Linked DNA regions of Drosophila melanogaster. The protein of the gene in region 1 interacts with the protein of each later gene in a pairwise test. Each region holds a gene or a part of one and is shown on either strand. Other genes may lie near its edges. The genes, in order: CG12121 and okr.

What was found.
Region 2: the proteins of CG12121 (region 1) and okr interact in a two-hybrid assay, tested with the Drosophila melanogaster proteins (one large-scale study listed by BioGRID).

Annotation. Positions count from the first base shown.
Region 1 is NC_004354.4:9,228,001-9,234,130, forward strand, and holds CG12121 (uncharacterized protein), read right to left. Parts: upstream 4,379-6,130; 5' UTR 4,114-4,378; coding exon 4,003-4,113; intron 3,939-4,002; coding exon 3,828-3,938; intron 3,767-3,827; coding exon 3,621-3,766; intron 3,559-3,620; coding exon 2,700-3,558; intron 2,642-2,699; coding exon 2,508-2,641; intron 2,447-2,507; coding exon 2,179-2,446; intron 1,856-2,178; coding exon 1,268-1,855; 3' UTR 796-1,267; downstream 1-795. Other genes in the region: Gr8a (gustatory receptor 8a), read left to right, coding at 1-135, 197-348, 408-497, 560-634; Ir8a (ionotropic receptor 8a), read right to left, coding at 4,726-6,130.
Region 2 is NT_033779.5:2,988,799-2,994,636, forward strand, and holds okr (okra), read right to left. Parts: upstream 3,962-5,838; 5' UTR 3,912-3,961; coding exon 3,909-3,911; intron 3,852-3,908; coding exon 2,537-3,851; intron 2,481-2,536; coding exon 2,327-2,480; intron 2,269-2,326; coding exon 1,863-2,268; intron 1,802-1,862; coding exon 1,638-1,801; intron 1,582-1,637; coding exon 1,269-1,581; 3' UTR 796-1,268; downstream 1-795. Other genes in the region: Bem46, read left to right, coding at 1-283, 361-539, 599-713; CG3558 (uncharacterized protein), read left to right, coding at 4,937-5,610.

The DNA.
Region 1 (6,130 bases):
TGTATGACATGCTCAAATGTTTCCAGGGTGCCTTCAACTTCTCCATTCTCGCCGTCCTGCTGACCATCAACATACGCATCGCCGTGGACTGCTACTTCATGTACTACAGCATCTACAACAATGTGATTAACAACGGTGACTTGGGGATCTATCATTTAAGTACATCATGTAGTATATATGGAGTATCATCCTACAGATTACTACCTAATCGTTCCCGCCTTGCTCGAGATTCCCGCCTTCATATACGCTTCGCAGAGCTGCATGGTCGTGGTGCCCAGGATCGCCCACCAGCTGCATAATATAGTCACCGATTCCGGTTGCTGCAGCTGTCCCGATCTCTCCCTGCAGGTGGGCTGCCATGGTATCATGCTGTCGTATCTCACTTTCCCATCCTTGATTCTTGGCAGATTCAGAACTTTTCACTGCAACTCCTGCATCAGCCGATACGAATCGATTGCCTCGGCCTGACCATCCTGGATTGCAGTCTTCTAACTCGGGTGGGTGTGGTGTACTCTCGCTCTTCGAGTAATGGTTTCACACATAACCACTGTCCTTTCAGATGGCCTGTTCCGTGGGCACCTACATGATCTATAGCATCCAGTTTATACCAAAGTTCAGCAATACCTATATGTAGGACATCCTTAAAAGTGGAAAATGATTAGGTCAACATAATGCTGAGGAACATATGCTTTTGAAGTTGTCCTTAAAAACTTTAGAGATTCACCAACTAGCATTTCTCCATGTGGTTTTTAATCTCTACAAGTTGCACCCACAGTTTAAATCAGATTGAATCTTGGGTTTACATATTAAAGCTTTGTTATATTCATAAAATTATAGGTAATTACATAAGTGTATTTATTTATATGTATATGTATATCTTAAACCAAGGATAGGGCCTGGGTGTCACAAGCGTTCAGTATTCCGTTAAGCGGATTCATTATTTATTTACAAGGGTTCCTTGGCTGGCGACTGGACGGGCACTGGAGGAGGTGGTGGAGGAGCAGTTGGTGCCCACCAAACGTTGTGCCGACGTTGCCCTATACAAGTTTATATGCTGAGATTATCCCCTCCATGGCCATCGCGTTTGCTTTTGATTTTCTTATTGATTTCTCTTAAGATGCGCTGAACATAAAACAAATATATTAAAGTAATGGTAAAGTACTAGCTCAGAATTTGAGTCATTATATCCAAGACTCCGGGGACTATAGACTACGGACTAATGCAGGGAATATTGGTGATGCAGATCAATTGGCTTCCATTATGGGGCCTAATCGTACTCATGGCTTGATTCCCGCTTTGCAATCAGGTTCTCGCGCTCATCATCGTTGCCCTCGATGATGGTGATTCCGCCCAAGCCGCTTCCGTGGTTTCGGTTTAGCTGCTTCACACGGTGCACCGTCTCCGTGAGACCAGATTCGGTAAGCACCTCCACCTCGTCGTCATCCTCGTCTTCGTCCGGCACGGTGAAGTATGGATGCGAGGATACTGGACGGAACTTGTAGCCAGTCAGCACGAAGAACACGTATGTGGCCATCTCACGGAACATCTCGTCTAGCCAGGCGTATTGGAACACCACCGTCATCTGCAGCAGATCGACGATGATCCGCGTGAAGTAGATATAGCACACGATCATGATGTAGAACTGACGGAACAGCTTCAACTTGCGCAAATTGATCGCCGCCTTGCCATCTGTCGCAGAGGCCTCATGTAGATGTCGGATGGACCATACGATTGGAAAGAGAATGGCGCCGCAGCACAGCAGATCCACGAAGAAGAAGATGTTGTGCCAGGTACGGAACTCGGCGTCGCTCTGATCAGACTCGTCCGTAATGATCTGGGCCACGTTGGCCAGAACCTGAGGGCGAAAAAAAGTGAATATGAGTTACATTGTTTACTGTTTTTGGTATTTAGAGATAAACAAACAAAACGTTCTTCGAACTTCGCCTTTTATGAGCCATTAATCGTAAACACAACCAGCAAAGCTTTAGATTATAGGAATTACGCTATTTACTCTTTGGACAAACAAGTCTTAATTCACCGTGAACGTGACGAAATCAGTCATGAGTGCCTCGCAACAAAACTAACTTTCAATAAAATATTTTTATTGCTGATGACTAATTAGAACTATTCCACGGTCTGTGCGTTTTCGGTTTTAACTTATAACAAATAAAAATTTACCTGCAGTGGAATTACGATCATGAAAATCTTCTTGTCCTTGTCAGAGAGAATGTGCTTAATAAAAGTCCAGCCGGTGCCAATCAAAACGATGGTGATGAAGAGCACGGCGCCCTTCAGCAGGTGGGCAATGTAGTAAAGGATGGCCCAGGTCTCCACATGCTCGCCCCGCTTTTCGATGAAGTGATAGTTGATCGAATGGAACATCAGCGAGAGGGACTTGAGGAACACCAGCACGGCCATCAAATAATGGATTTTGTACACAGTGTGCCTGCCACAGAGAAGAGACAATTATGATTTTTGCAATTGCCAGCCAAACCACTTTAACTCACTTGCTCTTCTTCAAAATGAAAACCCAAAAGAGGCCGGAGAGAAAGAAGAGCAGGCTCATCATGAAGTACAAGGCTGGCAGGGGCATTTCTCCAGCCGACAAATAGTTGCCATTGTTGTTCTCCTCGATGTCCACCTAAGTAAAGGTCAGGCCCATTAGATAAGATCCAAGTGGAATAGTTGCTGGTACTCACATTGAAGGACATTATTTTTGAGGTGTGATAATTGGGACAGGCGTGGAAGTAAAGGTTGTACAAGCCCTCATCACTGGGCGTGGCCACCATCATAGAGAAGTTGAAGCTGTAGTAGTGTACATTGTTGATGGTCTCCCTGACCAGCGGCATGGTCGAATCCTTGCAAAGGTTTTCTTGCGATTGCTTAAAGGAGTCGGGTCCATATGAATCTTCTTCGGAATCGCCTTCGTGGGGGAAAGGGTTTCCGGGAGCTGCGTCCGTATCGGTGGCTTCATTTTTCTTGTCAACTTCAGTATCATCTAGGGACGGAGCAGCTGCTGGGCTATTTACGGCCAGTGGTGGGGCTGCGACTTTTGGCTCTTCTACGGATACTTGCTTTGCTGGGGTTTCCTCCTTTTTCGAAGGGGTTTCATCCTTTTCAGCGGGGGCTTCCTCCTGCTTCTGTTCACTCTTAACGGCTTCCTCCACTTTAGGGGCGGCATTTGGTGGGGGAGGCAGTTCCTGCTTGTCAGAAATATTCTGATTGGCAGCCACTTCTGGCTTGGGAACAGACTCCTCTTTGACAGCATCAACATTTTGGGCAGGAGCATCTACCTTGGGTGCACCTTCATCTTTGGGCAGCTCAATTTTGCCTGCAACCGCAGCAGGCGAGGAAGACTTTAAATCCGTCGGTTCTTGCTCCAAGGGATCCTCCATGGACTCATCTGGCCCCTCGGCGGAGAAATCTTGGGCAGCGCGGGTCTGGCGAAACAGAACCGAATCGCTGACCTTGGCCATGTGTGAGTGCCGCTTGGTTCTGGACGGGATTTGGTTGTAGATGTGCATATTGTGCCATTCGGGGGAGCACTTAACACGAACTCTGCAGGAAAAGAAGTACCAAATGAGATGGATCTGCTCAAAAAAACAAGAGAAGCTACATACTTAAGCTCCTTGAGGTCCAGCACGAAGAAGAGAATGGGTCCGCTGATCTGGGATTTAGGTGATTCCTCGAGAATGCATTTGTTTTGATGCGAGTCCAAATAGGGATTAAGCTGGTCAATAGTGGTCTTATCCAGCGACAGACCCATCTGCAAGGAAGAAAGCGGATCAGATGAGAAAGTGGTGAATGCCATAGCCGGCTTAACCTACCAAATCTGTAGACTGCTCATTGTCAAAAGTCAATTTGCTGAGCTGCACATCCAAATGGCCATTAGTGTAGAATCCAAAGGTGCTGAGTGCGATGTACTGGCGACGGTCATTCTGCGGGTAACATGGTCAACTATGAGTCAGTTACTCCAGGCTGGCAAGGGTGCCTCCAACTTACCCTCACTTCCAGATGGTGCTTCCGCCCAAGGACCTCAAGTGGGGCCCAGAGAAGCGCCGTCAGTGCCGCCAGCACCACTATTGATTTAACATCCCCGCCGGGAGCCCACATCTTTCCGTATTTTCCCCAAATTTTCCGCTTCTATTCTTCGGCGACGTTTCGTGGCACTTTTGCCCCGCGATTCCGGGCGGAACGTTCCGGCGCAGAGTTCCGCGCTAGCTGCGATCCAAGATGCGGCAATCGATTTGCCGCGACCGCCGTCACAGTTCCTATTATTCACACCTCACCTTGATAAAAACCCCAAAGAATTTTACTTTTTTGCTGGGGGAAAAAAGGTGATCTATCGAAGTCTATCGTTCTTCGATATCAGCATGTGTTATTTGACCGGACCTATCGATTTAAAAATACCACACGAGTGGGGGGGTTCGCAGTGTTGCCACTACAGCCGTTTTGCCGTTAAGTCTTAGTCCAAGAACAGCGGCAAGCGGGAATTCAAATTTTAGAACACATTTCTAGCAGTTTAAAATCAAACTAAATTAGCCATTTTAGATCTTGAAAATATCAGATGTAATTAATACTTTAGTCGATTGCGATATTGTTTATTTGAAAACGTTGCAAACAAGTTATGAAACAGAAAACGATTATATATTTAACACATAGTTTTCACTTGTTAATTAGGTGCGACAAGAAACAATGTTTGTTTGTTCGGCCATGTTGGCCTCCTCACTCCATGTAGCCACTGTGGGAGTCAGAGGCACCGAGATTCCTCCTTGCGTACAGTCCATGACGCGGCTTAAATTTGCCATCGCCCAGAGTGATCCTGGCCGGGAGCTTCTTGCCCCTGAATGTGGCTGTTTCGAAGGATGGCGGTGGCGATACCTTCGCTGGCTTCTCCTCCGCCTCCAGCACAGGGATGTGCCATGCCTGCTTCGTGGTGCTGGTTGCAGTGGGTGGAGCTGTTGAGGAATTGCCTCCGGACCCCGACGAATCATTCACCGGACGCACCTGGGTTATTTCCAGAGCGTTCTGCTTCTTCTTGTAGTAGAGCACCTCCATGCCGAGAGTCATCATGGCAAGGACAAGGCCGAAGAGGGTGGCTATGAAGACGCCGCCCAAACTCTCCAGGGTGATGCCTTCCTGGTCCTCCGACAGCGGGCAGTTAGGCAGATTCGATTGGTTCCAGTACTTGGCCTTCAGCTCCTCAAAGAAACGATCCTTCTGCAGCTCCAAAATGGCGTAGCTCAGTTCGTCGCCCAGATGACTGCCCTGCTGAACGGCCACGGCATATGGCTGCTCGGCGAACACCTCGCCCACCTCGGTGAGATTACAATTCCGCGTGATCTCGTACTTGATCTCCGCCGAATCGTGAATGAAGGCATAGTCGGCATTCTCGTGTGCATCAACATTGGCGAATCCCTCCTTGGCATCCGCCACCGGCTGAGAGCTATTGATGGCCAGCAGTATATGGCCATACTGCTCCTTGATCGGATAGTCCCAGATGCGGAACTTCTTGAAATCCTTGCTAGCGTTAAGGGCCAGCTCCTTCCACATCCGGTACAGCGTGTCCTCGGCGAACTTCATGTTCACAAAGTATTGATGCGTATCGGAGTCCTTCACAACGGTGTAGTTTATCCTCGACTGTCGAGCAAGTTGCTCCAGCGATTGGACCGGCGTCTGCATACGCTCCACGGTGAGGAAAGCGGCCAGATTGGCCGTGAATGTGGCCAGCATGAGTACGACGAATAGCCAATAGGCGGCCACCAGCATCCGTCCGGAAATGGCCTTGGGTGCTTCTCCTCCGCCCTGTGGCGTGAACGACGTAAGGGCGAACCAGAAGCTCTCCCGCAGCGTGAACTCTCGGCAGGCATACGGATATGCCTGCCGATTGTTCCGCGAGCTATACGGCGAGTACTTGTCCATGAACCAGATCATGATGGCCGTACCGACCAAAGCGGCCACTATGCTCAGCCAGACCTCCAGTCGGAGCACGGTCATGAACTTGAACAGCGATGTGCGGCGCACCGGCTTCCGGATCGCTATCGATATGCCCGTTTGCTCGTAGTATGGCGGCAAGAAGTCGATCACCTCCTCCCGTTCCGAATACATCTTCAGTGCGGCAATGGCGAAG
Region 2 (5,838 bases), on another chromosome or scaffold:
TGGCCTATCCACCGGTGTACCCACCGAGCGGGGTCTGGTCACCGACGCCAGAGCGGCCATTGACTACCTGCACACCCGCCACGACCTGGACCACTCGCAACTGATACTTTTCGGACGCTCCCTGGGCGGAGCTGTGGTGGTCGACGTTGCAGCCGATACCGTATATGGACAGAAGCTAATGTGCGCTATTGTGGAGAACACTTTTAGCAGCATACCGGAAATGGCCGTGGAGCTGGTGCATCCCGCTGTGAAGTATATACCAAATCTATTATTTAAGAATAAGGTGGGTAGTCGTCGCCGGTTGAGCCCTCTGTTTACTTTATCTCATTACCACATTATTGTTTGTTGTTTCACATGCAGTATCACTCCATGAGCAAGATAGGCAAGTGTTCGGTTCCCTTTTTGTTTATTTCGGGCCTTGCGGACAACTTAGTGCCACCGCGCATGATGCGTGCCTTGTATACCAAATGCGGCAGCGAGATAAAGCGCCTGCTCGAATTCCCCGGCGGATCGCACAACGACACTTGGATAGTGGACGGGTATGGCCGGCAATTAATCTTCACTTTCCCATTTATCCATGGGTGTGCTTGCTTTTTAGGTACTATCAGGCCATCGGTGGGTTTTTGGCCGAGCTGCAGCAACAGCCGCTCCTCAAGGCGCCGGAGAAGAGCAACGTCTGGGTGGAGCTGGAGCATAAAATTATTGATGTATAGACCCGAATACATCAAGTGTTCAATTGACTGTGTTAACACTGCGAATGGTTTAATACTTATACATATACACACGCATAATATTAATCTGTATCTGACAGGGTTTTAATCCGGACGTTGCTATACGCCAAATTGCTTTTTATGTGCAGAGAATAACGTGCTAGCGGAGATGGCTGTTGATTTTAAGTAACCAACTTAAATAACTTTGCGCTTAAGCAAGTGAATACACACTAGAATCCGAATTTCGATGTTTGCTTGTATTTGTCCTAAGCTATGTTAACCTACTACTTTGCCCGATTGGCGGCCAGTTAAGAGTATAGAAATTGATCAGTATTTCACAAAAAAGTAAACTATTTTCTGGACTGACTCCTACATTGCCAGATTAGTTTATAGAAGCCTTCACCCCTAGCACGTTAACATTTTGTGCTGGTTCCATTTTTGAAATGTTAAATTAATAACTTGTTAGGATTGCAAAGGAAGCCAGAAAAAGTTATCTTAAGTTTAGACTTAAGTGCGAAGAAAAAGGAAATTCGAGAAACAATAAACTGCAAACAATTGCTAGAATCCACGGAAGTCCTCATCGGCACTGTCATCACTGGCGGGCGTGGATGATCGTTTGCGGCTTTCTGGTTTTTCCTCTGGCTGATCTGTTGCTTCCTCCTCAGCACTCGGCACAATTTCCTGAGCCTGCGATCGGTGGTGGAAGACAAAGGACACGCACTTGCAATCCATCCAGGCCTGGGCGAGAATATTGTCAGGCAGGCCTCTGTTGTTGGAGCAATGGTACCATTGTGACAAATGCGAGGTGCAGTCCGTGTCCTCGGGCGGTGGCTTCATTTGTATATTTTGAACGCAGCGCTTACACTTGAGCCTGAAAAGATATGTTACACGATCATGATCTAAAGGGTATCCAAAGCCAGTTCTTACTTGTCGTGTGTGTCGGACAGAATGTTCGCATCAAATGTAAACAAGTCCTTCAGATCGTCGCGGGTGAAATGCTTCTCGGCCGACTCGTTGTTGTCAATGATGGTGCTCGACAGGGATTTTTTGTGCGTCTGTCGCTGCAGGATCTTCTCCTCGATGGAACCACTCTGAAAGAGATTTCTTGAGTTGAAAAAGAAAGTTCCGTGCAGAACCAATTCAGGTACTCACGGCAACGAGGCGATATATGTAACAGGGCTTCTTTTGCCCGTCACGCCACACTCTGGCCATTGCCTGCTCATCGTTGGCCGGATTCCAGTCTGGGTCAAACATGAACAGGCGGTTGGCTCCAATCAAATTCAAGCCGCAGCCGCCAGCCTTGCTGCTCAGCATGAAAAGGAAGCTGTCAGACTCCGGGTCATTGAATCGGTCAACAACCTTCGATCGCTTCTTGATGGACATGGTGCCATCAAGCCGGACAAATCCGTACTTTCGCTTCCTCGCGAGCTGCTCGAACAAGTCCAGGGTCTGTGTGTAATTGGAAATGAGAACCACCTTGTCGTTGCCCTCTGCACGTATTGCTGCCAGCATGAAATCCAGGAGCATGAACTTGCCACTTAGCTCTGGATTGAGATCCCTGGAACACAAAAGATTCATTAATAGCCATTGCTATTCGCGCGCAACAGGCGACGTACTTTGGTTTGTAATTACTAGGCAGCACATTTTGGGAGTTTTCGAATCCCTTTTCCCGCGCAGTGAGCTTCTCATATATGAGATCCGGATGACTGCAAATCTTCTTAAGCGTTGTAATGTCTGCCAGCGCCGTAAGCGAAGCCTTTTCATTGCAATCTTGAAGGGAATTGTAAATGGTAGGAATGTTGTGGTAGTATTGCCTAATGACTTACCCGCCAAACTACGTCGAACTTGATCAGACTTCAAGAAATTCGTGTATAGCTCGAGTTGAATCGCCGTCAGTTTCGCACAGATAACCATTTCAAACTTAACCGGCAGATATTTGGTTAGAATTTGATTAGTGCGACGAATGATGCACTGATCGACCAGACCTATCAGCTCCTGTGTCTTCTCTATGGCCCGTTGTCGCTCCTGTTCCGTGGAGTCAGTATTCTGGCCCCGCAGAATAGCGCTCTCGAAGTTGCGCTTAAACACGGCCGCCGTTCCCAGCATCTCCGGGTTTACAAAGTTCACCAGGCTGTAGTACTCAGTAAGATCGTTCTGGATGGGAGTGCCGGAAAGCAAGACCCGTCGCTTTGTCTTCAGTCCCATGAGAGCCTGATACGTCAGATTGTCGCTGTTCTTGAGGCGATGTCCCTCGTCGCATATCACCATTCCCACCTCGTACTTGCACAGGATCTCCGCGTAGATGCGAAATGTCTCGTAGCTGATGAGCAGAACAGGTGTCCCCAGCCGGGCAGAAGTCATGGAGAACTGCTCGAGTGCTCGGATGGTGTTCTCCTTGGTCCCGCCCTCCATGGGCAGGCAAAGGAGTCGACCGTGAAGCCACTTGGTAAACTCCTTCTCCCAGTTCTTAACCAGCGATGATGGAGACACGACAATGGCTTTGTTGATCGTCGGCTTGCACTCGGGCCCCTGCCTTAGAAGTGTCCAGACCAGCGTTACGCACTGCAGCGTCTTCCCGAGACCCATTTCGTCGGCCATGATGCATCCATTGAAGTTGCCCCGCTTTCCCTCCACACACTCGTACATGAAACGCACTCCCTCGCGCTGGTGCGGCCGCAATATGTTGCTCAGCAGCGGATCGACGACGACGTGCACCAGAACCTTGGTCGGATCCATGCCCATGCGCTCGTGTTCTGTGTAGGCGGGTGGATGGAAGAGTACCAAGGCGTTGCAGGCCATCGGATCGTGTAGGGGTCGTCGGGAAATGCAGCGCCGCACGCCCAGGACCCGTTTACCACCGTAATCCGGTACGTAATTGTCCATGGGCACCTTGAACTTCCGTGCCAGAACCTTGGCAATGGCCAACTCATACTCGCTGTTCGCCGTGAAGCGAATAGGCAGTGGGAGCTCTGATGTGTTGCTGGCATCTCGGAGGGCGCCCAGTCGTCTTCTGTCCAGTTCTTGCTCTCGCTCCAGTTCCTGCTGGCAGGATCGCTTGTTTTTCTTCAGCAGTGGCGGCGTGAAGGAGTGACGGGACTCGGGACGCAGTGGTCCACGTTGGCTGGGAGCCAGACTGCGCCGCTTTAGGAATAAATGATTAGGGAAATGGAATTAAATAAATCAAATTTTTGTATTTACCATTTCATTAAATTCAAATGGCGGTAGCGCGAACAGCTGATAGAAGCGCGGAAGTCTGGTCACACAGGCGATAAGAAATACTGGTAAGTGGAACGCTGGGATAATGAAACAGAACGCATTTAATCAAACTAATACTTGTGATCATAGCACGCTGTTTTAAAAGTGAATAGATAATTAGATAAAAATAAAACTAAAATGGAATTGCTACACCCCGATGTCAAAAATTCCCGATGTATCTCAGGTATAATCGAAACATCGATATGTTATATTGATAGCTGCTCATCGCTAACTTTCTATTTCCGTGCAGATATAATTGTAAATATTTACGCAGAATTGCTTTGGAAACACTACGAAAATAGTGCAAAATGAGGCAATAAAGTGCGGGCCGGACTGCCTTCCCTTTCTTGACTTCAAAACCCGCGCCAAAAGCGCGAATTTCGTGCTGCAAGAACGCAAATCTAGTCCGCAAATCTGCGGAAGTGTTGGTACTACCACTTAATTGTATTTGTAATTGTAATTGCCAAAGTGCCAAAAAAAAAAACGCTGCAAATGCTGCAAGCGTGAAAACCCATCTAAGAAGGGCCACTAAACAGTAATGGGTGTAGATGCACGATGCACGGAGAGCGGAAAGCAGCGGAGACGATGACGATGATCAAATCTAAATTCATCAGGTGAGCGAGCAGCAGCAGCAACAACAACCACAGTGAGTGCCCAAATAGGTGGGCACACGTACACAGGTGTGTGTGTGGCTGTGTGCGTAAGTGTGTCACTTGTTGTTCTTGGGAACATTAGAGAAAAGTAAATAGCGAATATTCAACTAAAGTGCGTCTTCTTTTAGCTTCTAAATATTTAAAAAGCGAGCAACATTGAAATACTCACCACTCACACAGTCGGACAAAAGCACAAAACGAGAGATAACAGAGCACCAGCACCACCAATTCATGCCAAACGAAACGCACACGGAGCAGTTATCAGCGGACCAGCGCCACTAAAAGCCACCGAATCGCACACACACCGCACCGACAACGATGTGGCTGCGCCAGAGCAGCGGTGGAGGCGTTGCCTCCGTCGGACACGTCGGCCCACTGCGACAGCGACCCATCGACGCTGCCACAGACTGCGATCCGCGCGCTTGCTACGACAGCTTCTGTAAGCACTGGCAGCAGGCCTTCGAGATCATCCAGCACAGTGCACCGCCCTCGCACGACGACGTGCTGGGCGTGGTCTCGCACTTGGACTACATGGTCACCCTGCTGCTCGTGGAGCTGCATCACTGCAACAAAGTCTCGCTGCCGGCGGCCGAGGCTAGTGGTCCGCCTGCGGCGCCCTGCCTGGAATTCCTGCTCAGCGAGAATCTGCTGGACAAGCTGTACGAGTGGGCCTGCACCACGGGACGGTATGCCAACGCTGTGAGGCTGGAGCAGCTGAAGCTGTACGAACTGCTCGTCAGCCACTCGCGCCACCAGCTGCTCTGCCACGAGCCCTTCCTGCGACCCCTGCTCAAGATACTGGCATCCAGCCAGGGCGAGATCTTTCCGCCCGATCTCGAGAAGCGCCTGGTGATCCTGCTGAACCAGCTGTGCGTGGTTCTTATGCAGAATGTCCACCTGCTGGACCTCTTTTTCTTCTCCGCCCAGACGCAGGTGCAGGAGCAGATATTAAATGGCAACGTGGCGCCACCCAAAAGCGGAACCACTACCAAGTAAGCTCATAACTTTTAAACATTCCAATTCATTCAGCATAAAAAAGAATAGCGATAAATGAATATTTGTGTAATGATTCATCGCGTAATAGCGACATTAGCCAGATAAGGCAATACTAAAAAAGTGACCCTGTAATATTCCAATTACGAGTGATGAATCCACTTGACTTGTTCCATTTATCTTCTAAGATTTATATATTTATATTCTAAGACTTTATTATAAGGTAT